Schizosaccharomyces pombe: one gene and its partners. The protein of the gene in region 1 purifies or fractionates together with the protein of each later gene. This does not show direct contact. Each region holds a gene or a part of one and is shown on either strand. Other genes may lie near its edges.

Evidence for each region.
Region 2: the proteins of taf51 (region 1) and taf1 purify together in Schizosaccharomyces pombe (affinity purification with western blotting, with the first as the bait; 2 studies listed by BioGRID). This does not show direct contact.
Region 3: the proteins of taf51 (region 1) and taf7 purify together in Schizosaccharomyces pombe (affinity purification with western blotting, with the first as the bait; 2 studies listed by BioGRID). This does not show direct contact.
Region 4: the proteins of taf51 (region 1) and taf6 purify together in Schizosaccharomyces pombe (affinity purification with western blotting, with the first as the bait; one study listed by BioGRID). This does not show direct contact.

Annotation. Positions count from the first base shown.
Region 1 is NC_003423.3:3,029,825-3,038,066, forward strand, and holds taf51 (transcription initiation factor TFIID subunit taf73), read left to right. Parts: upstream 1-3,882; 5' UTR 3,883-4,056; coding exon 4,057-5,529; exon of another isoform or gene 5,530-5,585; coding exon 5,586-6,041; 3' UTR 6,042-6,115; downstream 6,116-8,242. Other genes in the region: nuclear rim protein Amo1, read right to left, coding at 1-368; SPOM_SPBC15D4.11C (Mam33 family protein), read right to left, coding at 547-897, 936-1,089, 1,231-1,517; protein mug98, read right to left, coding at 1,926-2,233, 2,272-2,305; SPOM_SPBC15D4.13C (ASCC1 family protein), read right to left, coding at 2,668-2,886, 2,937-2,998, 3,065-3,398; pho2 (4-phosphoerythronate phosphatase/2-phosphoglycolate phophatase, involved in detoxification of glycolytic by-products), read left to right, coding at 6,304-6,382, 6,430-6,498, 6,538-7,286.
Region 2 is NC_003424.3:836,100-842,062, forward strand, and holds taf1 (transcription factor TFIID complex, histone acetyltransferase subunit Taf111), read left to right. Parts: upstream 1-2,138; 5' UTR 2,139-2,220; coding exon 2,221-2,283; exon of another isoform or gene 2,284-2,325; coding exon 2,326-2,896; exon of another isoform or gene 2,897-2,911; intron 2,912-2,944; coding exon 2,945-3,093; intron 3,094-3,131; coding exon 3,132-5,288; 3' UTR 5,289-5,463; downstream 5,464-5,963. Other genes in the region: vacuolar amino acid transmembrane transporter Atg22, read left to right, coding at 284-1,873; RNA methyltransferase Tgs1, read right to left, coding at 5,473-5,760, 5,809-5,954.
Region 3 is NC_003424.3:2,171,910-2,178,956, reverse strand, and holds taf7 (transcription factor TFIID complex subunit Taf7), read left to right. Parts: upstream 1-5,169; 5' UTR 5,170-5,204; coding exon 5,205-5,532; exon of another isoform or gene 5,533-5,573; coding exon 5,574-6,427; 3' UTR 6,428-6,547; downstream 6,548-7,047. Other genes in the region: vta1 (Vts1 family protein), read left to right, coding at 70-264, 602-1,375; glycerol dehydrogenase Gld1, read left to right, coding at 2,597-3,949; mismatch repair ATPase msh1, read left to right, coding at 6,862-7,047. UniProt on the Schizosaccharomyces pombe protein: TAFs are components of the transcription factor IID (TFIID) complex that are essential for mediating regulation of RNA polymerase transcription. Also involved in the transport of mRNA from the nucleus to the cytoplasm.
Region 4 is NC_003421.2:696,773-704,997, reverse strand, and holds taf6 (TATA-binding protein-associated factor TAF6), read left to right. Parts: upstream 1-3,300; 5' UTR 3,301-3,316; coding exon 3,317-3,448; intron 3,449-3,606; coding exon 3,607-4,833; 3' UTR 4,834-5,252; downstream 5,253-8,225. Other genes in the region: xks1 (xylulose kinase), read left to right, coding at 1-25; retromer complex subunit Vps5, read right to left, coding at 661-2,391; protein mug123, read right to left, coding at 5,253-5,960; RNA cap binding protein cbc3, read left to right, coding at 6,599-6,818, 6,871-7,123, 7,246-7,393; rml2 (mitochondrial 54S ribosomal protein uL2m), read right to left, coding at 7,915-8,225. UniProt on the Schizosaccharomyces pombe protein: Functions as a component of both the DNA-binding general transcription initiation factor complex TFIID and the transcription coactivator SAGA complex.

The DNA of each region.
Region 1 (8,242 bases):
TGTTCATATGCTTGCATATTGTTTGTCGCTTTAGCCTGATATGCCCACCACCGCAATTCTTCAGGCGAAACATCGCCTTCATAAATTGATGGTAGATTCTCAACTACTGAATAACCTGTAAAAGGCCATTGTGGTTTTGCGTTTTTAAGATCGTCGTTAATATCCTTCATTCTTCTATTGGGAAGCAAATTATCTAAATCGCTTCTCTTCAAACGCCTTTGTACCCATATTGGAGGTCGTCCATTCTCTGGACGAAAGACATTAACCTTAGAAAATGCATTTTGTCCATTAGAAGGTACCGTATGTTGATTTTTACAATTGGTACCATACCTGCACCGATTTTGAAGGAAATACTTACAAACGACCATGTTGTTGAATAGTTGAAATGATATGCTAAAGATAAGTATAAAAATGTATCATAATCATATGTTATACTCCAAATTTTCTTATTTTTAGAGTGGGCGTCCCATTTGGAATCGTAGTGTGGTGTAGCGTTATTGCTCCAATTAATCATAAAGTAAAGGAATTCAAAGAACAATTATACCATCATTGGGAGTCTGATTTTTTAGTTGTTGATGATTCAGAAGGTAAAATAAATCCAATAATATTATGAATCCAATGCTTATAGGAGACATTTTCTTTTCGCCAACTGCGAGATATTAGCGCCTTCATGAATTTTACTGTAATTCCTTGTTCATCCAAGAATTCAAGTAAACTTGACTTGATAGAAGCTGGAACGTGCTTTGTTTTTCTGCCAGTGTACTTCTGTGATTTTTGTAAAATTAACCTCAAGTCAGATGAGAACGCTTGAGAGTTTTGAGGTGATTGAAAAGAAATGCTATCAAAATGAAGCATGCCCTTACAAAGTATTAAAGCACACAAAATTGTGCCATGGTTCTATAATTGTAAGTTATAATAACATGTTAAGATCTTACGTTAGTGAGTTGGACATAAGCAGGAATTGAATGCTGAAAGAACACTAGTTCATCAGATGTTTCGTTACCATTTTCATTTTCAGCACTATGCGTTATCGGCTTTGTTTGGACGTAACTTTTACGAGAGCTATATACGGGAACAGTAACGCGTATTCTAGCTACGTTAGTACTATTATATCGAAAGAAATTTAAAGGCTCTGCTGAAAGCATAATCTTAAACGTTGTATATTAGCCAACGCATAGACATGAAATCACATCGTTGAATTCAACAAACAATTGAGGAAAAATAGCTTACCTTTCCTTTGCCGTTTCTTTTAAAGCTGAAATGTAGTTAAGCGAAGGATCTTCATGGATTATAAAAGAATGAAGAGCCTTTTCGTATCCTTTTTTAGGTAATGTCTCATCAAGAACCTGTTTCACGTAACCCAGTTCAGAATCTAATTTCAACGCTAGTTGCTCCGTTAGGATACCACTTGTAAATTTTCGTTTACTACGAAACATATCAAAGTAAGAAAACCTCCTTTCGCAATTAAATAAAGGATATTTAAAGTTTCGTGCTGTAGAGATCGCTTTTCTGAGCATTTTGAAGTGCAATAAGCTGAAGAATAGAATTGTTACAAGCCGTCCAACAAAGATTTGCTTCTTCAATGGATTGATGAATTGTACAGATTATAAATATTTAATGCAATGGGGCATATGACAATAAGCACTTTAACTGAATTTGCTTCCTTATGAGAAGTACGCAAAGCAGTGACTTTAAAGTAATACAGCGGTTTTCACTAAAGTGCTTGTATACCATAGCAATGGATGAAGAAAATAATTAATGGAAAAATCATTATTGTAGACATCTGATTAAAGAAAAAAATAAAGAAATTAAGACTATGAAATTCTTTTTCCTGGTTTTTTAACGGCGTCGATTATAACCATAATGATGAAGATGCGGTTTTTGAATGAAATTGAAAAAATTGGCACAAAATTTTGAAAACATGACTAATAATAAACGTGATGGTAATTTCCGTTTGGACCATGCTGCATATAATACGGATTCGCATACCACAAACCATTCTCACGTTTGGTAAACGGACGATAAAACGCAGAATATGAATGGTTTATTTTAGCTTCAACATTGTATAGAGGGGGAAACTGGCATGTTTCTTTACGATTATAATGATTTCTACTTTTTCGGTGATTAATTTGTGGAATCCAAGTTTTAGCTCCGGGGTTCATGCGAGAAGTATTTGCTCGAACTTTCAAAGGAAGTTCTTTTCGGAGGTATTCTTCTCGGGCTTTAAGCGCAACTAATAATTAATAATTTAACATAAATTAGTCTACTTACGCTCATGCTTTAACTGCATTACCGGAATGCTCATTGTGTCGACAGCAATAGCCTTTTGCAAGCAAACTATGAGATGTGTTAAAAGATGTGAATGGTTCGTTTATTACCTTCAATTTTGTCTTCCATTGTCAAATTATCAGCATGTATATGTGAAATCAATTATAATAAAGGATCTCAAAATAATTTGAATAGTTTCCAAAATTTCAATCAATTTCGAGAAATGATGGTAAAAGGAGCTATATTATATATTTGTGCTTCGTCAAAACAAAATGAGTTATAAATTGCACCGATATTACTTCTATGACCAATTTCATATTTGTTTACACATGTGACTATCATGTGGTAAACAATCGATTCCAAAAGCGTTTTTGTAAACAACAACTACTACCTTTATAATCAATCATTAACGAGTAAAGGAATTGAGGCTAACTCTTCATAATACATATTACCCGGTTCTCCAACAGCGCCTGTTTTCATAATACTTAGTTTATCAAGTTCAATATTATGAGCCCAAAGAAATTGACCGTATTTTTCCATAAAAGGTTCCGAATTAAAAAACCTGATACGTCGCCCCTGGTATTTTATATACCTGGAATTTAACAAGGTGCAGTGTAGCTAGTTTTGTTAGCAAAATTATAATTTGGTTAACATCGCATAATGCGTACAGTAAGAGGTCTAGCGTCTTTAGTAAAAAGATTGTGTTCAGTGAAAATAACTTTTAACCATTCTATGAATTAGCTTATTAATAAAAAAAATAAAAACTCCGTACCACAAAAGGCTTGTAAGTCATTACCATTATGCTTGTCCACTGGAGTAGCATACAGCACCTTGGCTTCCTGAGGAGATTTCCCAAAGAAAGAAGTTCCCTTTAAATCGATTGTAATCTTTTTCTCGCCATAGGATTTTCGGATTTCATCCTCTTTGTTGTATAAAAAATCCATGCACTTGAGAACGTCTTCGTCGTTTTTAACCGGGATCATACCAATAGTAAGATGTGAGACACGAGGGCCACGAAATCCAGATAATATCATGGGATCATTAGATGTTAGTTTAAAATACTTTAAAGATTCCTCGATATAGTGCTCAGATATCGGTAAGGCCAAGAATAACAAATTTGGATATCGCATAATAATTAACAGATTACTATGGCAAAGTATTCAAAGTAATTTATTTACGGAAAGTTGTTCTGCGGCTCAAACAAAATTCACTGATCGCTAATGAAATATGAGGTAAGAGGAAATCACTTACAAATTTATAATGTAATTAAAATTGACTACATAACAATAATCAGGCTGTACTAATAATAATGTTTAACAACGTCGTTTATATTGAAACGAAAATTGTTCTTCATCCTATCCATTGATTTACTATTGCTGAATTAACGAATTTCATATAGCGTCATTAAGAAATATTAAGTTGTCAAATCCTAAAATCGGTAGACTTATTAGTCTAATCTTTAGATGATAAAATGCGAAGCAGTTCATTTGATCATACATATATATCAACAATTCCAATTCTTAAAAAAATAAGAAAGATAGCTGCAATTATTAGATATGGTGAGTCAACGCTTCGTTTGAGTTTAGATACACAGTCCAACTAAGGATGCCAGATGGACTATTCAACACCACCACAAAATTATTAAAAGTTGTTAAACTATAGAAGAAAAATATATTATACATTCTTCTGAAAACGTGATAAGCCGAAAGATATTTTTTAACACTTCGAATACCTAGGTGGCAGTCGACACACGTATAAAAGAAGTAAACGCATGACTAACTACTAAAAATGGCTCAATCTTCCTACTCTTCTGGTAATTCAACTTCAGATTTAAACAAGATTGTTTTGGACTATCTGTTTAAAAAGGGTTATTCCAGGACTGAAGCTATGCTTCGGTTGGAAATATCCAGTGTTGGCGCAATTCCTGAAGAACAGCAAGACTGGCACATCGGTGCTTCTGAAACTTATGTACAAGTTTATATTTTATTAAGAGATTGGATTGATGGTACATTAGATTTGTATAAGCCAAAACTACAAAAAGTCCTTTATCCAATTTTTGTACACTCTTACTTAGACTTACTGCAAAAAAATGATCCCGAAATGGCAATATACTTCTTTGAATCATTTCGTATAGAGCATGAAGTGTTGCATGGCTATGACATTCGAGCATTAGCTCAGTTGAAGATTGCATCAGACGTTGAGGAGATAGAAATAGCTCAGCTTTATCGCAAAAATAAATACCGGATTAATTTCACGAGGTCTACATTTGATTTACTAGTACAGTTTTTGTTCGAAAACGAAGTCAATGGAAGTGGAATAATAATTCGCTTATTGAATCAGTACATTGATATAAAAATTACTATGCCTCAAGTCGAGGGCAAGGAGGACCCTAATGTGCAAGCGGTCTATGAAATGGACGAAGCTAAAAATGAACAGACAATAATTAGTGAGCAAGAAGGAATTCCTGGCCATTCCGAACAGCTTCTTGATTACAACAAGCAAAGCATACAACTTGGATTACGTCCCTTGTCAGAAGAAGTTGTCACAACTTTAAAAAACTTGTTAGAAGTAAAAGATAAAGACGTGGAGGGAAGAAATGAAGCTCTGAATAAAATATTGCATCCTGCAAAGAACCTTGTCGAATTGCTGACTGAAAAAGAAAATCTAATCAACGAATCAACTCTAGAATCACCATCTGATCCCCCATTACCTCCAACCAAAATGAAGGACATAGACTATTTTGTTTCTTTACTGGAAAGCGAACAGAATTCTTTAATACTCGGAAAAAATGCTACGGATCCTAGTGTTTTCATGTATACCATGCACAATACACTTTCCGCTGTAAATTGTGCTGCATTCTCTGATGACGCCTCTATGTTCGCTCTGGGTTGCGCAGACTCTTCAATTCATTTGTACAGTTCTACTAACAATGGTCCGCAACCATTAGTGGGAAGTCAAAATGAGCCTTTACAAAAGTCCTCTTTAATTGGACATACGAGACCAGTTTTTGGAGTGAGCATCTCTCCTCAAAAAGAGTTTATACTGTCATGCTCTGAGGATGGCTTTACTCGTTTGTGGTCCAAGGATACTAAGTCCACTATTGTCAAATATGCTGGTCATAATGCGCCGATTTGGGACGTTCAGTTTTCCCCTTTCGGCTATTATTTTGCAACAGCCTCGCACGACCAAACAGCACGTCTATGGGATGTTGAGCATGCAGCACCTTTGAGAGTATTTGTTGGACATCAAAATGATGTGGATGTAAGGAACTTTATTTAACTAACAATTCTTATGAGCAGTAACTAACCTTGATTTAGTGTGTTTCATTTCATCCGAATGCAGCTTATCTTGCTACAGGATCTAGTGATCATACAACTAGAATGTGGGACGTTCGCACTGGTGGAACAGTTCGCGTGTTTAATGCCCATCATTCTCCTGTTTCTGCATTGTGTATGTCTGCTGATGGCTTATCGTTGGCATCTGCTGATGAATCGGGCATAATAAAAGTGTGGGATCTCAGAAGTAGTAATCAGCACGTTTCATTCGTTAAACACTCTAGTATCGTTTATTCTCTTTCTTTTTCATATGATAACAAAATTCTGGTTTCCGGAGGTGCAGATACTGATGTTAACTTTTGGGATTTGACATACCGGAATAACTTATCGGACGGCGAACAGTCCCCGCTTTTATTCAATTTTAAAACCAAAAATACTATTATACAAAACTTAAGTTTTACTCGAAGAAACTATTGTCTAGCATTAAGCTCTTCCTAAATATCATGTACATTATGGCCCGCAAATTTTGTGAAAAAAAGAGATATATTATTTTAACGATAACTTTGATATTTGTAAATTTATTCATATTTTTTTAAAATACAATTATACGCAATAAGGTTTCGTAAAGTAAAGAAGATGTAAGTTTTAAGCTTAATATGAAGTCGATCATCACTATCAGAAAGGAACATCTAACCGAAGATTATAAATATAACGGATATGTCGAACGCCTACCACCTTACCACTTTAACCAACTTTAAGAATGGCTAAAAAACTTTCATCACCCAAGGAATATAAAGAATTCATTGATAAATTCGATGTTTTTTTGTTCGACTGTGATGGTAAGCGCTAGCAAAAATATGAAATCTATTTGTAGGCTAACACGCAGGTGTACTTTGGAGCGGCAGTAAGCCTATACCAGGAGTTACGGATACCATGAAGCTCCTTCGTTCTTTAGGTAAGTCCCTTTTATTCTTTTGAGTTAACTCTTTTACAGGAAAACAAATTATTTTTGTCTCAAACAATTCTACGAAATCAAGAGAAACATATATGAATAAAATCAATGAACACGGTATTGCAGCCAAACTTGAGGAAATCTACCCTAGTGCTTATTCATCAGCTACTTATGTAAAGAAAGTGCTAAAGCTTCCTGCCGATAAGAAAGTTTTTGTACTTGGAGAAGCAGGTATCGAAGATGAGCTTGATAGAGTAGGGGTTGCTCATATTGGTGGAACGGACCCGTCGTTGAGACGTGCATTAGCTTCTGAAGATGTTGAGAAGATTGGTCCTGATCCTTCTGTAGGTGCTGTGTTATGTGGTATGGATATGCATGTCACCTATTTGAAATATTGCATGGCTTTCCAATACCTTCAAGACCCTAACTGCGCATTCCTTTTGACGAACCAAGATTCCACTTTTCCTACAAACGGAAAGTTTTTACCCGGTTCTGGAGCAATTTCATATCCGTTAATCTTTTCAACTGGACGTCAACCTAAAATCCTTGGAAAGCCTTATGATGAGATGATGGAAGCCATCATAGCTAATGTGAATTTTGATAGAAAGAAGGCTTGCTTTGTGGGAGATCGACTCAACACAGATATTCAATTTGCCAAGAATTCCAACCTTGGGGGTTCTTTGTTAGTATTGACTGGTGTCAGTAAGGAAGAAGAGATTCTTGAGAAGGATGCACCTGTTGTTCCTGATTACTACGTTGAATCCCTTGCAAAACTTGCTGAGACTGCATAGTTCATTCTTTAATTATACCTTAGATTTTCTTAAGTTAATCTCTATAAATACCTCATTCAAATGAATGATTGCGTTGCGAATTACCGCACGAAAACATGTAGAATACGAAATTAAGTTGGAAAGTAGAATTAGCAAAGTACCAATGACCGGAATCAAGTATCTAAAATCGAATACCGTTGGCTTGCATTTGCTCTTCGTAACTATCGTGTGTCCACCAACTATGGAATCAGTAAAAACCTTTTAGTTGACAAGCAGAAACGTACTTAAAAATACGATTAAGCCTGTATACTCTCACCAAAAACATTGGCATTGGGCATCTTCATCTGCACCTGCTTACAAGTTCTTTAATTTAGGTAATCCAGGTTTACTTTAATGTTATTTACATATCCATAATAATAACAATATAAAAGATTGAAAAAATACAAGCATTTATAGTTTTTCAAACAAATTCTATTGACTAAAACCATTCGTCTTTGACTTAAATGCGGCATATAATCACTTGACAGCAAAGCATAAATGATTCTTGTTCAACAACGAACGGTTCCCATCGATTAAGAAAAAAGAGATAAATTCATTACAGCTTTTTTTTCTCTGCAAATTTAAAAATGCTCTTTAATAAAGGTTTTGATGTCTAGTTATCTTTTGCGCTAAAATACAACTCATCATATATATAAAACATTGGAAATACCTGTAATCCGAACTGCAAACTACGTACTAGATAAAGTTATTTTAACGTGTTTTAACGAGTTGTTGCGATGTTTGTGATATTCGTAAGAAAAAGAGTTGACTCTAAAAACTACTTACTGTGTCTTTAAGGGAAACACGTTCACGTGTTTCGTTCTTCTTATATTTATTAATCTAATCCTAATGAATTAGGATGGAGAAAGAAGATAAATCATTTGGTATTGGAATGTTGGATTACAATAGGGAAAACCCAGAGTCTTCTGGCCATAGCA
Region 2 (5,963 bases), on another chromosome or scaffold:
AGCTATTATTAAATGATACAATAATTATTTAGTTGATCGCTTAAAAATTTTTTAGAAGCAGCCATGATTGTATCTATTTTGTTTGTTTTGTCCATGCATTGTTTGGTCTCCCCCCGAGCAGTTATGTCCCTATTGCGTAGCTAATAAATCCGCTACACCAACCACAATTTTAAGATAACTACAACAGTTTACTTTTCTTTTCTCATTCCCTTTCAAAATTTATGTTTTCATATTATCTTCAGTAATTTGTATTTCCATAGTTTTTGACGATTGAGCTATCAATATGAATTCTCCAATACAACTTCACAAGAAGTTTTCCACTACAGTTTGGCATGTTCTGAGCTGGATTCTTTATGCAGTTGGGGCAGGTCCTACTGCAATTATAAGTATGGGGGTGTATGTTCCTTTAATTGTTATGAAAAATGCCCATGATCATGGTTTTTTAAGAACAGATCACACAATTCCTTGTTCTTTATATCCAGAAGAACCTTGCTCTTTGAATATAGTTGGTCCGCTATGGATTGATGTTAGTTCTATTGTATTCGCTGCATCAGCTATTTCAACTTTTTTACAGATGGCTATGATGGTTAGCTTGGGTGTTATTTGCGATTATGGAAATAACAGAAGATACATCTTGTTTTCATGCGTTATCATAGGTTCTATTAGTGGTATTATACTTTCGTGGAGTCCCTCGAGTTTTCTTTTGGGAAAAATAGTGTTTTTGATTCTGGTCGACTTGAACTTTATTATATCTCAATCCTGCTATGACAGCTTTCTCCCTATTTTTTTGAGATTCTACCCTATCACGAGAGGACCTATAACATTGGAATCCGCTCTTCAGGATGAAACAGATGACCTAGATAGCTACATAACAAATACCACCATTGATTCTAGTGAAGAAGAGCCCTATTTGCTTGAACACAGCCTAATACTTAATGAATCCGCTCCTCCTGCAGATGTGGAAGATGAACACAAGGCTAAAATCGCTGCTCGATTATCAAGCGTTGGCTTCGGTAGCTTCTTCGGCGCTGCTATTCTCTTTCAGATTATTTTTACTCCCATTTTGTACAAAACTAATAACAATCCAATAATCTTGCCAATAACTGTTACAGTGTGTTCATGTTGGTGGCTTATACTTTCAACCCCCCTTTGTACCATTGTTACACTACCTGTGGAAAATCACTCAAGTGATGCTATCCTGACACTACTTTATAATAGTGTGAAAGAGTCGTATCATTCATTCAAGCATGCAATGAGTATTTCTTCGATTAGGCTATTCCTATTTTCACGACTCTTCATTAATTGTGGAATTCAAACTTCTCTTTCTTCTGCCGTTATTTTTGGAAAAGCAAGGTTGAATCTCTCTAACTTTCAGCTGACTTTGCTAGGAATGGGAATATCTTCTTTCGCATTGTTAGGCACCGTAATTATACCCTATCTTACTGAGTATTTTCAACTGAACTCGTTACAAGTAGTAATGATTATTTCCATCCTCTTGCCGATGGCTCCTTTATATGGCCTTTTGGGTTACATTCCTGGATTTGAAAATGCTGGAATACGAACATCAGCTGACGTTTTCCGGGCTACTTTATTCTTTGGCTTTTTCTTAGGAGGTGCGCATAGTTATTGTAGGTCCGTATACGCTCAACTAGTGCCATCTGGAAAAGAAACTAGATTCTTTGCCCTCTACGCTTTGATATCACAAACCGGTGTGTTATTTAGCCATATTTCTTTAACACTTATTTCGAACTACACATCTGATTTACGTGCCGTCTACATTTTTGTAATTGTTGTTATGACTTTACCTTTGTCTTCTTTATGGATAATGTATCAACACAGCAAAACCCCCAACTTGCATAGGTCCTCCTCTTAACTCACCCACTAGCATTTATTTATTGATTTAATTAAACAAGTCTGCGGTTCTTTATTTTTTCGAGACATTAAACTATTGATTAATGTACAGTGAGCGCCAAGCCTAATTATTTTCATGAGTCTTTCCAATTAATAAACGAAATTATCGAGGATTTAATAGTTAATAGATATATATTATTATATGAATTTAATTCTGTCACCCAAGATTCATCAGTAAGCTAATGTTACCTGAGTCTATATTCATCGGCAGACGAAAAGTATCCCTTAGCCAACACCCATTTCGCCACAAGTCGATTAATATCATATATAACGGCTTAGTGAGGCCATACATAAATTTTGAAATATATTATGTCTTTTGATGGTCTTATAGTTGAAAATGAAAATACGAAATCTGGATACAATGATGGAAATGTAGGTATTTTGAAATCTATAATCTTAAACTAACGAATGTAGGACCTGACAGATTTATTTAAGCAAAATGGTACAGACATGTCTGTAATAAATTCTCTTTTAGGAGATACAAACAATCCAGGGATGAATGAGTCCCCAAAAATTTTAGATTCTAGTTTTGAAAATTCCAACCCTCAGGATGGACCAAATTATGAAGATTTTGACTTTATGGGTTCAATTCATAAGGAATTTGGTAATAACATAAATGAAATGGATGATATGGAAGATGTAAGTGATGATAATCTACCAGAGGAAGAACAAGCTGTAAATTACACCGGGGATAAGGATGATGAAGATTTTGGAAAGCTTTTAGCTAAAGAAATGGGTGAAGAGGCTGCTGGTCAGGTCCTCAGCGGAGTAGGCTTTTCAATTCCATCGGGATTAGTTCCACCTTCCGAACCTTCGAAAACTGTTTCTTCTACTACAGAAGAATTACAAAACGAAGCTCAAATTAGGGAGAGCATTGTCAAAACTTTTTTTCCGACCTTTGAACGTGGTGTTTTGTTGAACTTTTCAGAACTTTTTAAGCCGAAACCTGTTAAGCTTGCTCCTCCAAAGAAAAAGACCCCAAAAGGTATGAATTGATTATTGTTGTATTTTTTTACTGATCTGACATGTTAAGTTTGCGTACCTGGTCGTTTAACGTTAGAAGTCGATACAGATTACGCAATAATATTCAATAGCAAGAAGTCTTTACCATTAAAGCGAAATGTTGTGTCTCCAATATCTACGCATACAAAAAAGCGAAGAAGAACAGCTAATACATCACAGGTATGGTTTGATTTAGAATAGCTTTCACTAACCGAAAGAGGAATGACGGCTTGGATCTCAACACCGTTTTTACTACTAATGATTGGGAAAAAAATATTATTTACGATGAGAGTGATGTTAACAAAACTAATCAATCATCATTTTTTATTGACAAATCACTAGTTGATATTGATTTTGCATTTGATGAAAACATTTTTGACGGAGACACTGGTACCTCGAAAGTAGTATTAAATTTAAATGACCCCAAACTTTTGTTACAACCTCAATTGCCGAAGAAAGAGGATTCCCAAAGATCTTTTGCAGACACCCATCAAAGGAATTCCCTGGCTTGGAAGTTTAATATATCCAACGATCCTGCCTATGAGATGTTAAAACAAAATCATCAGTCAAAAGTTCGTAATACCTTGTCCCAGTTAGCAATTGAGCATGCTGCCTTTGCCGAAAAGCTCACATTTCCTTACTATAAAACAAGACTTAGTAAGCGTGCTGTTCGAAGTTACCATCGACCAACCATGTCGTTCAAACCTAATGCAGCTATTGTCTTTTCACCTTTAATAGTAAGGAAAAGAAGTAAAGATAAACATAAGTCTGAACGAGAATTAATTCCTACTACTAAGGAGATAACAATGGGTGATACCACACATGCAATACTCGTTGAGTTCTCAGAAGAACATCCTGCAGTGCTGTCCAATGCAGGTATGGCCAGCAGGATCGTTAATTATTATCGAAAGAAAAATGAACAGGATGAATCACGTCCCAAGCTCGAAGTTGGTGAAAGCCACGTTTTAGATGTTCAGGATCGGAGCCCTTTTTGGAATTTTGGATCTGTTGAACCTGGAGAAATTACTCCCACTTTGTATAATAAAATGATTAGAGCTCCGTTATTTAAGCATGAGGTACCACCTACTGACTTCATTCTAATACGGAATTCTAGTAGCTATGGCTCAAAATATTACTTAAAAAACATTAATCATATGTTCGTGAGTGGTCAAACTTTTCCTGTTACTGACGTGCCTGGGCCCCATTCCCGTAAAGTGACCACAGCAAGTAAAAATCGATTAAAAATGCTTGTTTTCCGGCTTATTAGGCGTTCACCAAATGGAGGATTGTTCATTCGACAATTATCAAAGCACTTCTCCGATCAGAATGAGATGCAAATTAGACAGCGTCTTAAAGAATTTATGGAATACAAAAAGAAAGGTGATGGTCCAGGTTACTGGAAATTAAAATCGAATGAAGTTGTCCCCGATGAAGCAGGTACACGGTCAATGGTTTCACCTGAAACAGTGTGCTTACTAGAGAGTATGCAAGTGGGTGTGCGGCAGCTTGAAGATGCTGGGTATGGGAAAACAATGGATGAGATCAATGATGATGAAGATGAAGAACAACCAGCAGAGCAACTGTTAGCGCCTTGGATTACTACGAGAAACTTTATAAATGCTACCCAAGGGAAGGCCATGCTTACACTGTTTGGTGAGGGTGACCCTACAGGAATTGGCGAAGGTTATAGTTTTATTCGTACGAGCATGAAGGGTGGTTTCAAACCCGCTGGCGAAACCGCCGACGATAAGCCAGAACCGCAAACTAAGAATGCTCACGCCTATAATGTTGCAAAGCAACAAAGGGCTTATGAAGAAGAAATAAATAGGATTTGGAATGCTCAGAAAAGAGGTTTAAGTATAAATAATCTGGAAGAATTGGCTAAAAAATATGGCATCAATTCTATACATGATGATTACGTTGAATCTAATGAGGAGACTACGAGAGAAGAAACTCCATCTTCTGATAAAGTTTTACGAATTGTTCGACTTTATCGTGACAAAAATGGAAATTTGGAACGTAAACAGGAAACCATTCATGACCCGATAGTCATCCATGCCTATCTGAAGAAGAGGCGTGAGATTGACGAACAATCAACTGCTCTTGATGCCGTCGTACCAACTGGAGACGAAGCAATTGATAGACGCAACCGAAGGCGTCTTGAACAAGAACTTGCCAAGAGTCAGAAGAATTGGGAGCGACGAAGAGCTCGACATGCTGCCAAAGAAGGAATCAACTTGAACGGAGAAGGACGAAAACCCACTACTCGCAAATGTAGTAACTGTGGTCAAGTGGGCCACATGAAGACCAACAAAATATGTCCCTTATTTGGTAGACCTGAAGGAGGTTTGGCTACTATGCTCGACAAAAACTAAAATAATACTGAGTGTTATAAAGAATATTTGACATCTCATGATGGGCGTCGATCGCTCCTTTTTTGTTTATTGGTGATGAATCTAATTATAACGATATTCATTGTAGAAAATGTTAATAATCAATTTATGTTTATGAAATCAAATATATAGTTGACGAACTTCACGTGAAAATGAGTTGAAACTTTCAAATTTTTCGCGCAATAGCACCCTTCATATTAAAATAGCAGCAAATTGCCTTGGCATATCCTTCAAATAAAAAATTGGTAATATAAGGCTTGTTATGAATACTCCCATATGCTGCAAGTTCCTTTACATCAGTGTTTCTTGGCAAAAATGCAGCAACATAAGGGGATATCCTAGTTGCTTCTTTAAATAGAACATCAAAAGCATATGGGTTTAGGTCATTTAATGAATATACTGTTTTTCCTGAGTAACTAGGTCCACCCCAAGGAGGACTCATAAAAACAAGAGACTAGAAAATATTGTTAAACACAGAATTAATATATAAGATTATCTATACCCTGTAATCTTTAGCAAACTGCAAAGATTTAAAAGTGTCAAGAACGTCTCCTTGAATGAAAGTGACTCGAGATGAAGGAATGCCATAAATTTCCAAATTATGCTTTGCCATAGCGATTTTGATAGGATCGATCTCAATTGAGATTACTGAAACAA
Region 3 (7,047 bases), on another chromosome or scaffold:
TTTTTTTTGGATTACGAGACCAACTATGTAAATGTTTCTGTGGTACTAACCGCTCTATGGCGTGTGTAGTTACGTAAAAATTTGGGCGAGAATGAGAATGTGAGTGACGAGACTAGTGCAAAGGCGTATGTTGAATCGTTTTCCCTAGAAGTTCTTGTCCAGGCCGAAAGAAATAGCAAAAACGGGAAACCAGATGTGCAAGCGTATTTGGCAGCCCGAGATTTTCTAGAGTTGTCGAGAATCTGGGGACCACCTACGGAACAGGTACGTGAGTCAAAAACAGCGAGAGCAAGTGAGACGGAATGAAAAAGAGTAACGAGCAGAACTTAGGAGAAAAAAAAAAGAAAACCACGATCAACAAAAATGAAAAAATGAAGGTTCTTTGGAAATTTTTTTATTTTTTATTTTTGTTTTGTCAAAAACAAAATCGTCTTTTCCAATTCACATTACCATGTGTTTTTTTTTTCGACTCGTTTCTTCTTTTGCCATTCTGAGGATTTCCTTCCTATCGGTATTTTTCTCTCTCGTTTGTATTATACAACGATGCTTTATGATGCTTATAACGATTTTTTGTTCCCTACTAACCCCTATTGCTACGTAGATTACCAAGTCAATCAAATTTTGCAAGTTACGTGCGCTCCAAGTCGCAAATCCCCAACGAAAGGCCAAAACACCCTCAAACCACGCGACCGAGGAGTTACAGCAATCTTCCACAAATTCCACAACCCTACCTACGCAAGAAGCCGCCGTTGAAACGAATGCCTCTGCTTCTCATGAAACATCTTTTGCTCTCCCCACTACATCTCCAGCAGCATCGCTCTCCATCTCTCCTACAAAGTCTGCAGCCGTATCTTCCGAGCCTAATGTAGAAGCAGACGTAAAATCGTTGTCTTCAACACCGGCTGCTCCACAACTAAATTCACCTTCCCATTCATATGAGCCTACCACGTTCCCCTCAACTACATCAATAACCGAAAATTTGCCAACAATAGATCCTACTCGTTCCACTCGCTCTTCCTCGCATATCCAAAGTTTATCTCCTGAGTCAAAGCAAACATCAGATGGGCATCGGCCTCCCTCCCCTACGTCAATCACCACCACCTCCACCTCCATCGATCCGTCAGTAGCATTTTCCAGCAAGTCAACTTTAGCCACAACAAGAACAAATGCCCCTCTATCAAGGCCATCTCAACCGACTAAAGCCTCCCCCTTGAACAAGTTTTCCGCCTTGGAGGCTATCCAATCTGCTCGAAGTCATGCACGCTATGCATACAGTGCATTAGACTACGAAGACACAACGACAGCCATTCATCATCTAAAGTCGGCACTAAAACTTTTGGAGGAAGAGGAGCAGGGAAATCATACTGCAGACTAGAGGAAGAATGCTGGGGCTGGAATGGAGGGGATCTCAATGAGACAATGGGAAAAGGTGGGGCAGATACCAGTAAAATTATCTATCCATCTTGGGGAGAAACAATCTAATTGTACCACTCTCCCCACTATTCGTCTCTCTTAATGTTTGTTTATTTGTTTGTTTTTTTTTTATCCACTTTTTTTTCTTCAAATGCTTTCTAATTGTAGCAGGACCCCGCCTTTCTCTCCACTCTTCCCATTTTCCCTCGCCGTTGAGTGGCACTGCTCATCCCTGTCTCCTCATTTTTTGTCGCGTCATTTTAGCGAGCGTTTATTAAGGAACTGGCGAATGACTGCTGTTGTATATATTTCCCCAGATTTTCAGCAAGTAAGCTTTTGTCTTGTACTGCATACCACGTTGTCTTTCTTGCCCCTATGACGCAGTTATGAGACCAACGAGTCATGGGTTTATCCTGCCTCATCTTTTGTTACGTTATTTTCCTGTCTGCTTGGGTTTGGCTTCCGCAGTGGGGAACTGGCAATTGCGGTGGATATGTGTGGTGTCATCGCCCTCTCATCAAGTTTATATGTAGAGGGGCAGCGCTGAATTCTTTGCTCTTGGTTATTGCTTTCGCAGTTTTCCATATTTCCCCCATCCATCCATCCATCCATCCACCTCTTCTCTTCTCTTCTTTTTTTAACAGAATTGCTTTTTCCATTGTAAAATAAAACCATAGCAAGTTTTCACTACCACTTGGGTTTTTTTTTCTTTTCTTTAATTATTTTTTTAATCAACTTTCGTTGCTTTAATTTTTAAATATTTTTTCTCTTTTCATTCTTCCTACTCTTCCCGTTTACCGTCGATCGGCTGATTCTAGTTTTGACAATCACCATTGACTACGTCGATCCCTTTTTTTTTGGCCAGCCGAGATCATATATCCCGTTCATTCTTGGAACTTTCGTGATCTTTCGACTGTCTATTGATTCCGCAAACAAGTATATATATACACATATAGTTGTTTTTTCTTTTTGGACCTCTGTTCCATTGCGTTTCTCTCCTTCTTAGTTACTTGTGCTTCTTTACCTATTTCCTTTTTCTTTTTAAATAAGGATTCTTCTGTATCGAAATAAATTTCAAGAAAGGTAAGAACCGTTCCACACGCCTATTCTTGTATTTCTCTTTTCTTCGATTTGATTCGATTTCTATTCGTAACGCTTAGCTAGTCTTTGAACTTCCTTCATAATGATTGGTCCTCGTCTTTGCGCTGCAACCCCTCGCTTCCCTCTCGTTTCCCTCGCCCACAGGAACTCTAAAGTATTTGCGCTCGCCTCTTCCAATGCCGTTGCACAACGTTGGGGCAAACGCTTTTATGCTCCTATTGAAACGGAGACGCCTCACAAAGTTGGTGTAGAGTTTGAAGAATCCAAAGATCGCATTTTCACCTCTCCTCAAAAGTATGTTCAGGGTCGTCATGCCTTCACTAGATCCTATATGTATGTCAAAAAATGGGCCACTAAATCAGCTGTCGTGCTTGCCGACCAGAACGTATGGAACATTTGTGCCAATAAAATTGTCGATTCTCTTTCTCAAAACGGAATGACTGTCACCAAACTGGTCTTTGGCGGCGAGGCAAGCTTGGTGGAACTGGATAAACTTCGCAAACAGTGCCCTGATGATACTCAAGTCATCATTGGAGTTGGTGGTGGTAAAACCATGGATTCCGCAAAGTATATTGCTCATTCCATGAATCTTCCATCCATCATTTGTCCTACTACTGCCTCCTCTGATGCCGCTACTTCCTCTCTTTCCGTCATTTACACTCCTGACGGTCAATTCCAAAAATACAGCTTTTACCCCCTTAATCCCAACCTCATTTTCATCGATACCGATGTGATTGTTCGCGCTCCCGTCCGCTTCCTTATTAGTGGCATTGGTGATGCTTTGTCCACCTGGGTGGAAACTGAATCCGTTATTCGCTCAAATTCCACTTCCTTTGCCGGAGGTGTGGCCTCCATTGCTGGCCGTTACATTGCCCGTGCTTGCAAAGACACTCTTGAAAAGTATGCCCTGAGCGCTATTCTTTCCAACACTCGCGGTGTTTGTACCGAGGCATTTGAGAACGTGGTCGAGGCCAACACATTGATGTCTGGTCTAGGCTTTGAAAACGGTGGTCTTGCTGCTGCTCATGCCATCCATAACGGTATGACCGCCATCCACGGTCCCGTTCATCGTTTAATGCATGGTGAAAAGGTTGCTTACGGTACCTTAGTTCAAGTTGTTTTGGAGGATTGGCCGTTGGAAGACTTCAATAATCTTGCTTCTTTTATGGCAAAATGTCATCTTCCCATTACCCTTGAGGAACTTGGTATTCCCAACGTAACCGATGAAGAGTTATTGATGGTAGGTAGAGCTACTTTGCGACCTGATGAGAGTATTCACAACATGTCAAAGAAGTTCAATCCATCTCAAATTGCTGACGCTATTAAAGCCGTTGACTCCTATTCACAAAAATGGCAAGAACAAACTGGATGGACCGAGCGTTTTAGATTACCCCCTTCTCGTCATAGTCCTCACTTGACCGACATTCATCCATAGGCATTATTTTTATCCCCAGCTTCAATTTTCCCTAGTAAATCCAAAAGAAGAAAAGAAATTTTTAAGCGGGTTTTCTTCATTGATCATTAATGTCCTGAGTGTTTTTTTTTCTATAGTAGTCTTTTATTTCGTGTGCTTCCTTTCCTCTTGGAACTTTTTTTACCTTTTTTCTTTCTTCCTTTTTTTTATTTTTTTAAAAAAGTTGTAAGCTTTTCCCGTTAATCTAGTGATTTAATGATCAACCTTTTCGGCCTACTCCAAAGTTTTTTACGCCCCTTATAACTTCATGAATAATTTGCTTTATTTTTGTTACGAATGAAAAAAATTGTTCCCCTTTTCAAATGAATGTTTTATCGTTGTTAGTTGTATTGTATTAAAGTTGTTCACCGTAATTGATCTATTTGTTACAATGCACATCATCTGTGTTGCTTCCTTTTTTTTTTTTTTTTTTTGCAATCGCTTTTTATTGTGATAGATTTCAAAAGTTTTAAATGTAATTACAATTAATAATGTTCCTATGTTAGAAAACTTTAAATAACTAAAGTGATTTGTTTTCACGTATTATACAATTGTCGCTAGTGGCCTTGTCAAACATTCGTTGTTATTATATTATATGCTAACTCAATATGATTAGTATGCTACAAATGGTATAATAAGTGAGTAAATCCCGGATTCCTAGCTACATTGAAAACCCTTTTTACCTTAACCTTTGCATCGATCAACAATTTCGCGCTTTATTTACATTGTTTACTGTGGGATAAATAAGTAGTGTTGTCAACAATACATTACTCAAGGATACACTACGTTGAGTATCACTATATGACACATGTCCTAATCATTCATCGTTGTATGAAACAGTATTGAGATTGACCTTAATAATAATCTATTAATATTTTTATTATCTGAATACTATAAATAGGGCTACTGCCGAACCTTGTTCCTCAGTTCAGTAGTTTAGCTATGTCGGTGATCGATACTAATGGACTTCTTATAGTAACAAATATACATTGTTAGTTAAACATACCACATACCGCTATACTGTAGGTCGCAAGAGAAACTCACCGCAGTTCTATGAATCGTTAAATAGATACCAAACTGCGTAGCTGACAGGTGTTTGCAGATAACGATTGTATTAAAAAAATGTTGTAAATCACTATGGCTCGTTAGTAGTAGATAACGAGACTCACTTGAAGGTTTAGCGACTTGCTAATCGAGCGTTTGCCAACGACAATTACTCAAAAGGCGGTTTTCGAAAATGGTTAAGCTAAAAATTCGTGCTGTTCAGCCTCCTCCAAATGATTCACGATCTAGCACTCCAGCCACTGGTCCTCCTCCCCCAATTCCTAAAATTAAGATCAAGACACGTGAACCTAAAGGCCCTCGATTGACAAAAATTCGGTTAAAAAGAGTTCGCGAACCTGGCTTAGGATATGATTCAGAAGCTTCTGACAGAGAAGAAGACACTTATATTGAAGAACAAATTATATTACGTCTTCCTCCTGGTGAAGATTGTGAGTATGTTCGAAAAGCAATTGAAAATAGGGAAGTGGGACGAGGTGCAGACATATGGGTGAAGTTCAAAGGTAATGACTTGGTTACACTATATTATTATTAACAGAGTTAGATCAAAGAAGAGCGGTTGTTCATGTTAATGGTCATTTGTACGCTGCGAAGTTAGTTGATTTGCCATGCATCATAGAATCTAATAAATCATTCGACAAAAAAGTTATCTTCAAGGCTGCTGACATCTGTCAAATGTTGATAGCTACAGAAAGAATCGAGCACGAAAATTCTGTTCTCAATACTCAGTTAAAGCAAGCTGATTACATTTATCCACATGGATTGACGACGCCAATGCATTGGGTGCGGCAGAAGCGATTTCGAAAACGTGTTTCGAACAGAACAATCGAAGCAGTTGAAAATGAGGTTGACCGATTGCTTGCAATGGATGAACGCGCTGAAAGTACATCGAATGAGTTGATTGATCAAGCACAATTGGCTCGTGACTCAAGCATCGCTCTTTCAGAGGATACATCGTTTGATGGAATGGCAGGACTTCGTGGTACCAGCATCGATCGGGACGACCAAAGCGTGCAAACTGATATGTTTGATGGTATGGATGAGGACGATTTGGCTGGACAGATTGAACAGGGTATGCTTGAGCTTAGTCAAGATACTCGGGAGTCAACAGCAGAACCTCGTGCCGCAGGTGAAGAATCTGCTAGTGAAGAAGAAGAAGAGGAGGAAGAAGAAGAAGAAGAGGAAAATGAAGCTGACGATGAGACTCGCGAAAATAAACGACAAAATAGACTTGTTCGTGAGTTTATTTCAGAGTTGGAGTCTTCTATTCAAAAACGTAGAAAGGATGCCGATGAAGCAACTAATCCCATTCTACGAAATCGTTTCCTTGCAGACGTTAATCGTATGGTGACCGAGTTAGAGTTAAAACGTACTCAACTTGTCGATAACCCTGAATAAATGTGTTGCGTAGTTACATCTTTTTACATTTTTTTTTAAAGAAAAAAGCATTTATTTCTATACGTTTTACCTTTTGCATATCAGCTACAATAATAATGAACATCGGTTATGGTTTGGATATATATACATATATTTATATTTTATATAGTAGATTGTAAATTGCATATTAAGTATTTTAGACACTGATAGCCAGAATTAGTTTTGTTAATGAAGTGTACCGAACTTTATTACAACAATCATTTTTCTGCATAAGCAATTCTATTTAAACGTATACATATATTTATTAATATACATTTATATGCTCATAAATAAATTTATATACTTGAAGATTACTATTTCTTCAACTTGACAATGATGCATTCATTGTCGCTTATAGTAACATAAACTTTTGCTAACTCTACAAAAAAACCCTTCCATTCGGTAACCTGAAAATTATGCCGACATGGAGGTATATTTTTTCATTAAGAAGTAAATCTTCTTTCACTAAAACCTGGGTACCGTTTACTCAAATTCGAAATTCTAGTAAATCCCCCAAAGTCGGCCAAAAGCCAATTTTACAAGGCGCGTTAGGACCTCCGTTAGATTTTATTAGACCGAAGGAAAAAGTAACTCTACCTCCT
Region 4 (8,225 bases), on another chromosome or scaffold:
TCAACAGTCAGATATCCGGCATTGAATTGATTAAATGCTTTTCCATTTCGCACTTGATTATGTGATTAGCTATTGATATAACGAGATTATTAATGAAAGCGAAATCCACTTTTTTTTTTAAAAAATATGAATAAACCTTAGGATACAAAATGATAAACGTTTCCTACATGAACATTTTTTTGAGCTATCGTTTTGAGAGCTTTGAATCACGAGTCTAAATTAAGACAAATAAATATGTAACATAAAGTAGTCATACACCATATTATTAAACAAATTTTTGCATACGCTTTTACATATAAGTAACACAATTTAAGCAGGAAAAAGCGTTTAAACATAAACAAATATAAAAAGGCTTGAGTAACAAAGACAATTTTTAAAAACATACACAAGTTATTTATTTACAAAGGAGTGTAGGGTTGCTGTAAGGTTAGTAGATAGAATGCAATATTTTAAGGTACATTTTCTTTTCAAGTAATGAAGTACCATGGACGAAAAGGGAAATTGCAAAAAAATAATTAGAATAGAATAGAAATCGTCAGCTAGAGAAGTGCAAAGTAATAAAGCGGTAGTTGGAAATACATTAATACGAATATGGGATAGAAATATTACACGAAAGAAAAACATAAAAATTAAAAGAGTGCATAGGGAAAATTAGAGTCGTTATTGATCCAAAAATGATTCCCAACGCTCAATAATTTCTTTTTGAGATTCAATTGCAGATTCCAACCACGTTTCAACACTAGCTTTGAGATCATCAACTCTACTGGTTGTGAGAGAACTCAAATCTCGTTTTAACAGAGTTGTTGATTCCGAAAACTCTTTTTCCAGATCAGCAGCTTTTGCTCGATATTTTTCGTATTGTTCTTCCAAGTAAGGGAGTGATTTTTGCTGAGATTTCGCTTGCTTTTTACATTTCTCAAGTTGAGTTTTAGCACGAGAAACAGCTTGAACTGAAGATTGCCATGTCTGCCACAACTTTTGACGTGTAGTAAAGGCATTTTTGGCACTCTCCACGTACCGAATGTACTCCTCCAATGTAGTGCCCAGTGTCAAATTGTCTTGAGCAACCTTACGTTCTTGTACAAATCGAAGCTCTACCTGGAGTTGGGAAAGACCATCAAACTTGGATGATAAGGTGGGCTCTAAATCAACTAAAGATAAATTTCCAACAGCCTCGCCAAAATCATGGATGGCTGAAGCGAACTGTATGCGTTGATCTATGGATAAAAGAAGCGCGTGATAAACCGACTTTAGTTGAGTTTCCAACGAATCAAGTGTATCCTTTGCTTCAATTAAAATTGGATCCTGTTCGGAAAATTTAGAAGATCCAGAGGTATGGAAGGCGGAGGTGAATGAGTCAAGTAAACCAGATGTTGAGGGACCTGAGCGCAAAGGACTTGATGAACTCTCAATGAGAGTAGTACGATGTGTCATTCTAGGGTCAAATGTCTCTGCTTCAAGAAACAACTTAAATGAGTAATCATCACGTAGAACCGGATGGGCAGATATTTTGCGAAGCATTACCTCCAAGGCTGCTCGTCGCTGTTCAATAAATTCATCATCAAAACGGCCTACAACCTGCTTTTCCGGGATGGGAGGAATGATACAACCCGGATGATTATTAGAAAGCAATTGATAAAGAAAAGCAAAATCATTATATCGTCTTTGTACAGTCACATTGCTAACAGAAGGTTGATTGTGTTCCTCTAAACGAGTGGAAACCGAATATACGGTATGCGATTTAGTGATTTCCTTAACGGTATGAGGGTCATGAACTTGGATGTAAAACGGGGTAAGAGATTGAGGTGCCGCTGCCGGGTGCGCCTTCTGATTCTCCGTATCTGTTAATGAGGTTGAACCTTGCTTCTGGGAGGAGGCAGATGAGACAGTGTGTGTAAAATTTGGAGCAGAAGATGAGGCAGCGTCTAAAGTATCTACCGTCTGTTCTGAATTTGGTATAGTGGGATTTTCCGTTGCTCCGATAGGAGAAGGGGAAAAGGAGTTCACTTCTGAGATCCAAGGCTTATTTGCAGAAAAATCTGCATTCAAAGCGGGACTAGATCCTTTTAACGGATTAATTTTTGTATTTAAACCAACTTCCAAACGGTTGTTTTCGGGTGCCATAGAAGGTGCATCAGAAAATTGCAAGGGACCTAAAGGTGCAGAATCCAAAGTTAACGTTTCAAACGGAAGAGATTTCAAATTGACGCTTCGTTTCCTAGGAGATGTATAGATATGAGTTTTTGGTGGAGAAGCTTGAACATTCGGCGACTCTTCTTCCACTCCTTCAGCTGAGGGCTCTTGGTCGGTTTTTGGAGGGTTCAGTGGAGAAACGGAATCTGCGAATGGATTAAATGCATCGTCTTCTTCATATATATTATGCCCAAGCATGATGGTGGCCGGTTGGGTTTTTGGATCTGATCACTGAAATCGTGCCTGAAATGGTGATGCGCAGCCCAACGACGACTAGCGAAAAATAACGATGGTTAAATACGTTTAGCAATGCGGGGTGACTTGCGGTGCAACTAGATAAGTGTCAACAATTCAAGTTTCTAATTCCTTTTAAGGCTACATTAAATTATATTTAGCTTGTAGAAGCAGTATATTGCGTTATACAGTATTGTGAGTGGTGGGTGATAATATATTTATCATTGTAACAGCTAATAACTGGACTGAGAATGATGCTCTGTTCAATCTAGACTTCTAATTTTAACTACTATTTTATATCAATATCAATGGATGTTTTAGTAAACAAACATATAGTCTTCTGCTATTGTTCAACAAATTGAGATTAATTGGTATTCCATGTAGTGTATTTTGATGCGTAACGTAATGTTTAATAGCGATTTTAGTGTAGCTCACTGTCTTGTAAGCTACGCAGTTTGGTATCTGATTTAAGGATACGTAGAACTGCGGTGAGTTTTCCTTGTGATCTATTATATTACAATACACAGGTTGTATAAGTAGCAACTGAGTATAGGTATTGTATTAACTGGGTTATAATGTTACCTATCACTAATATAGCTCATAACTGAACTGAGGAACGAGGTTCAGCAGTAGCTCTATTTATAGTATTCAGATAATATAGATCTTAATAGATTATCATTAAGATCAATCTCCATATCGTATCATACATGGTACGATATATAATTAGAACATGTGACATATAGTGATACGCAACGTAGTGTATTATAGCGTAGTGTAGTATTGCTGACAAGTATGTTAAATAAAGCAGTTGCTTCTAACATCGTTAACTACTTCTCTGCAGATGCAATTCACTCATTGATCCATAAATCGTTCATCTTACTACCAAGTCATGTCCTTGACAGTATGGAATATTGAATCCATCAAAGATGTTGCTGAAATGCTTGGGATTGGCAATCTTGCCGATGAACCAGCAGCAGCTATTGCAATGGATCTCGAATATAGAATTCATCAGGTGGTTCAGGTAGGTTTCGTGAAAGTAGACTATGAGATTTTACTTTCTTTGGAAGAGGCTAAAATAACTAAAAAATTGTTGCTAGTTTTTTACGATGCCTTTCAATTTGCTAGATAGTCTGCTTTATTCTGACATTAAACATAATTCTCTAACAGTATTTGATTTAGGAAGCCACTAAGTTTATGGTTCATTCTAAAAGAACTGTTTTAACTAGCGCAGATATCTCTTCAGCGTTACGGACGTTGAATGTTGAGCCGTTATACGGCTTCAATAATTCTCGTCCATTAGAATTTCATGAAGCCGCTGTAGGTGCAGGCCAAAATTCCCTTTACTACCTTGATGATGAGGAAGTGGATTTTGAAAAAATCATAAACGCTCCTCTCCCTAAAGTCCCTAGAAACATTTCTTACAGTGCACACTGGCTGGCCATCGAAGGTGTGCAGCCAGCCATTCCTCAAAATCCAACTCCCTCAGATCACACAGTTGGAGAATGGGCATCCAAGGGTACTTCAGGGGTTATGCCAGGTGCTTCAACTGCTGCTAAAGAAGCTCGAAACGGTGTCACTTCGATGGACAACGTTGAGATAAAACCGTTGGTGCGACATGTGCTATCCAAAGAGTTACAGCTTTATTTTGAGCGTATTACCAGTGCATTGCTTGATGAAACTAATGTTGAGCTCCGTGATGCTGCCCTATCGAGTTTACGTGACGACCCCGGATTACACCAACTTTTACCATACTTCATAATGTTTTTATCGGATTCTGTAACTCGAAACTTAGGAAATCTTGTGGTTCTTACTACTTTAATGCACATGGCCTGGGCCCTTCTTGATAACCCCAACCTTTTTGTAGAGCCTTACGTCCAACAACTCATGCCATCCATCCTTACTTGTTTGGTCGCGAAGCGCCTTGGCAGTGATCCTAATAATCACGAGCATTATGCACTAAGAGACTTAGCTGCTTTTTTACTCGGGATTGTTTGTGATCGATTTGGTAATGTGTATTATACATTAAAGCCTCGCGTTACTCGCACGGCACTCAAAGCATTTTTGGATAACACCAAGCCATATTCCACTCATTATGGTGCCATCAAAGGCTTAAAAACTATGGGGAAAGAAGCTATTAGAGTCCTCGTCGTTCCCAATATCAAAGTTTACGAAGTCCTAGTTCGGAAAACCTTGGAAAAAGGAAATGAAGAGGAGATTTACGAGGCCAATAAATGTATGGATGCTTTGTACGACGCTTTGCTATTACTGCGGGATGATCAATTACCAAATCAACGAACTCTTCCGCCAAATGCTAGTGGTCTTCTTGAGAAGAACGTTGGCAGTTTAATGGCTGAAAAGATAATGAAGGAAAACGATACCTCATTGCTTCTTGGTCTGCTAGAATAGTCTTCGTTGGGCATAAAATATTTGTTTTTGAACAATTTAATCTATGAATCTCGGACTTTAAAATATTTACCCAATTTTCCACACTACCTAAACCATTATAGGTTCTATAATTAAAATGTTATTGATATTCATGTTACATTAAAACAGGAAGCACCGAATAGCTTTCAAATGAATAAAAATAGAATGATGATAATATTGATATAGTTTATTTCATGTTTTGATTAAAGATGTGAGACTAGCTGACAATGCCGGGTTTTAAATGAAAGAAATACGTAATAGAACAGAAAGGGGAAGGAATGCTTGATTATGCCAAAGAATGCGAATAAAAGTAAACGAATTAAAGCAATTAAACTAGGTGAGGGAATAGCACCATAATAAATAATAATACTTTATCAGATATCGATGGAAAAATAACTGCACTAATCGCTATCGAATTCATCATTGTCCCCCATATTTGTGATTACTAGACGTTTCATTCCTTCTTCAGCACTGTCCTCGTCTGAAGATTCAGAACTGCTGCTTCGTCGATTGACAAGATAAGATTGAATATCATGAGTAGGTGATCCGCTACGAGATTCAAAGCCGTCTGATTGAGTAGTTTCGGCTCTGGAGTCTGCTCTTGAATGTATTGACATTCCCATAATGGAAGGTGCAGTCCCACTATGGGTTGAGCTGGCACGTGAAGACTCAATCATTGAGATATATGTTGGTGCAGTATTCGATGTCGAAATTACCAATTCGTCCTCATCGTCATCCTTACCTTCGGTAGCAGATAATCGTGGAGTAAGAATGGTGTGCTGAGGAGCCATTGTACGTGAATGAAGCGAAGCAGGACGGGTGTGATAAACACCATGATGCTGGCTAGAAAATACCCTTGAGCGCATGCCTCCTAAGCCTTTGCTGGAAGACTTCCCATTTTGTGATGAACTTTTGATTGATGGGCTAGAGTGTAAAGGAGCCACACGGCCTATATCACTCCAGACAGTCGCCTTTGCACGGCGTAAACTCTGTACGTAAGAAAAAGTAGAACCATTTGACTCATGGTTGCTATTAATGGCATTCGAAGTTGGAAGGGAAGACCTCGAATATGGATCATCATGGCTCGATCGAGTAGCTAAACGTTCCATGCGATTAGTCTTCTGTCTAGTAATGATTATTATCTATTTATTCCTTCTTTGAATAAGTTGCTTGTAGAGTAATTCCAATTAATTTTTAAAAATTTCACAGACAAATGCCGGGATTAGAAAACGAATGGTGTTAAGATAGACAATCTTTTATTTGATTAAGCAATCAGCTAAAACTAATTAAACAAAGCTCATATATCTTTGAAAAGCGCAAGAATTAATGTTTCGTACTGAAAATTGCAAATGTGCGGAAGCTATGTTTACATGTCTCATTCTCGAACATACGGTGTCCCAGAGGTAAATCTTATTAGGTTTTACTGTAATATCCCATAAATTTCTGTAAATAACAATACGCAATTCAATGTGCTTTAGCGTACTGTAGATTCTTACACAAACGAGCCTTACATGCAAAAAGCCGATTTAATCTCCATTTTCCTTCTTAATTTTAAATACAAATTACATTTGACTTCCGATCTTCACTCATTATAGGAGACTGTACCGATTACATTGCCTATAGGGATCTTTCATCTCTCGTTATTCTCGTATAGCAAATTATAGCGCGTCGTAATTTTCTTTGGACGGCACATTCACTCTTTTGGAAACTGCATGTCTGCGAAGCAGTTGTAGAGAAGTAGATTTAAATGGATATCGTTGCAGAGACTCAGATTGAAGAAGAATCATTGATACCCGACGCCACTAGTACTCCATTAGAAACGGAAGTGGTGGCTGATACTACATTGCGTAAAACAGCTTTACATCTAGCTGGCGTCGATAATCTTTCAGAAGAACAAGTCAAAGGATTTATTTCAGCTTATGCTCCTGAATCTCAATGTACAATTGAATGGATTAATGATAACGAATGTAAGAAGCGAAAACTGGCAAAGGGTTAGTCTAACTCTATAACCGCGTATAGGCAACGTTGTTTATGCGGATGATGATGTTTCACGAAATGCTTTATTTCATTTAATTATGGAGTCTCCGACAGAATTTTCAGAGGAATTGGAATATCAAACGAAACCACACCCAACTGTACCGACGTGTCAATTCAAAATACGTTACGCCCGCTACGGAGACAAGAAGGTTAAAAGCGCACATCTTTACTCGAGATATTATCTGTTTCACGGTGATCCTCGAGAAGAAAAGGCTCAGAAGAGCAAATCTAAAAGGTATAACTTGTGAAAACCAAATTAGTCCGGGTGCACTCATACTTTTCAAAAATCATTTCCTCTACTTTTGAGAATCTCCTTTTACTCAATTTTATATTCAAATTACTAACACTTTCGCACAGTAGAAATCAAGATGAAAGGGGTTCGCCATTAGATGAACGACTAGGTCCTAAAGTGTCTGACCTTACACTGATGGAAAGAATATTCCAAGTTCGACGCAAGCCACGCAAATCAAGGAGAGACCGTCGTTCCAGGGTTTCCAAGCGTTAATTGTGTTGTAGAGAAATATTAAATACCCAGTTTATCCGCTTTTAAGTCGCTTTTCGCTGGACGAAGGCAAGAAAAAATTAATATGCTAAATTAGCTACAATTTTATAAATAAAATTTTTTTATTTAGTTGGCCATATTAAAATAAAACCGTTCTTTTCTGCGTTTAATAGAATACTCTTTTGGTACCTGAATGATATCGATAACCCTTTTAAGGTAGATGTAAGCAAACGACAATTTTGAATGGGATAGTCCTTAGCTTTAAGCAACGTTGTGATGAACAAAAATTACCAATACAGATTTAAATTGTAAGAGCTAAACTCTTAAAAAATGCTTAAAATTTTTCGTCGATAAATGACGGTCGACACAAAATAACTATACATAAATGCATCTGGTCCACAAATGGATAGGTAATAGCATCGACTATTAAAATGGAGAAGGGATCATGAAAATTGAAATGCATTACGGTAATGTAAAACATAGAAATGTAAAAGTCATGAAGACAGAGATCATTAATAAAATGATTACCGCTTTTCCTTTCCACGAGGACGATCGCGGACGAGTAATTTATTAACATTTTTACCTCTTCTTGTTTTGTATCCACCTTTAGCCAAAACACCCCAAGGAGATTGAGAAGGTTTATTACCAATGCTTTTACCACCACCACCACCATGTGGATGGTCACATGGATTCATAGCTGTACCTCGAACCGTAGGACGAATGCCAAGCCAACGTGAACGACCGGCTTTACCAAGCTGGCGATGTTGCCAATAAATATTGCTTACAACACCAATGGTAGCAAATGATGTATCCAAAATCTTTCTCTCTTCACCAC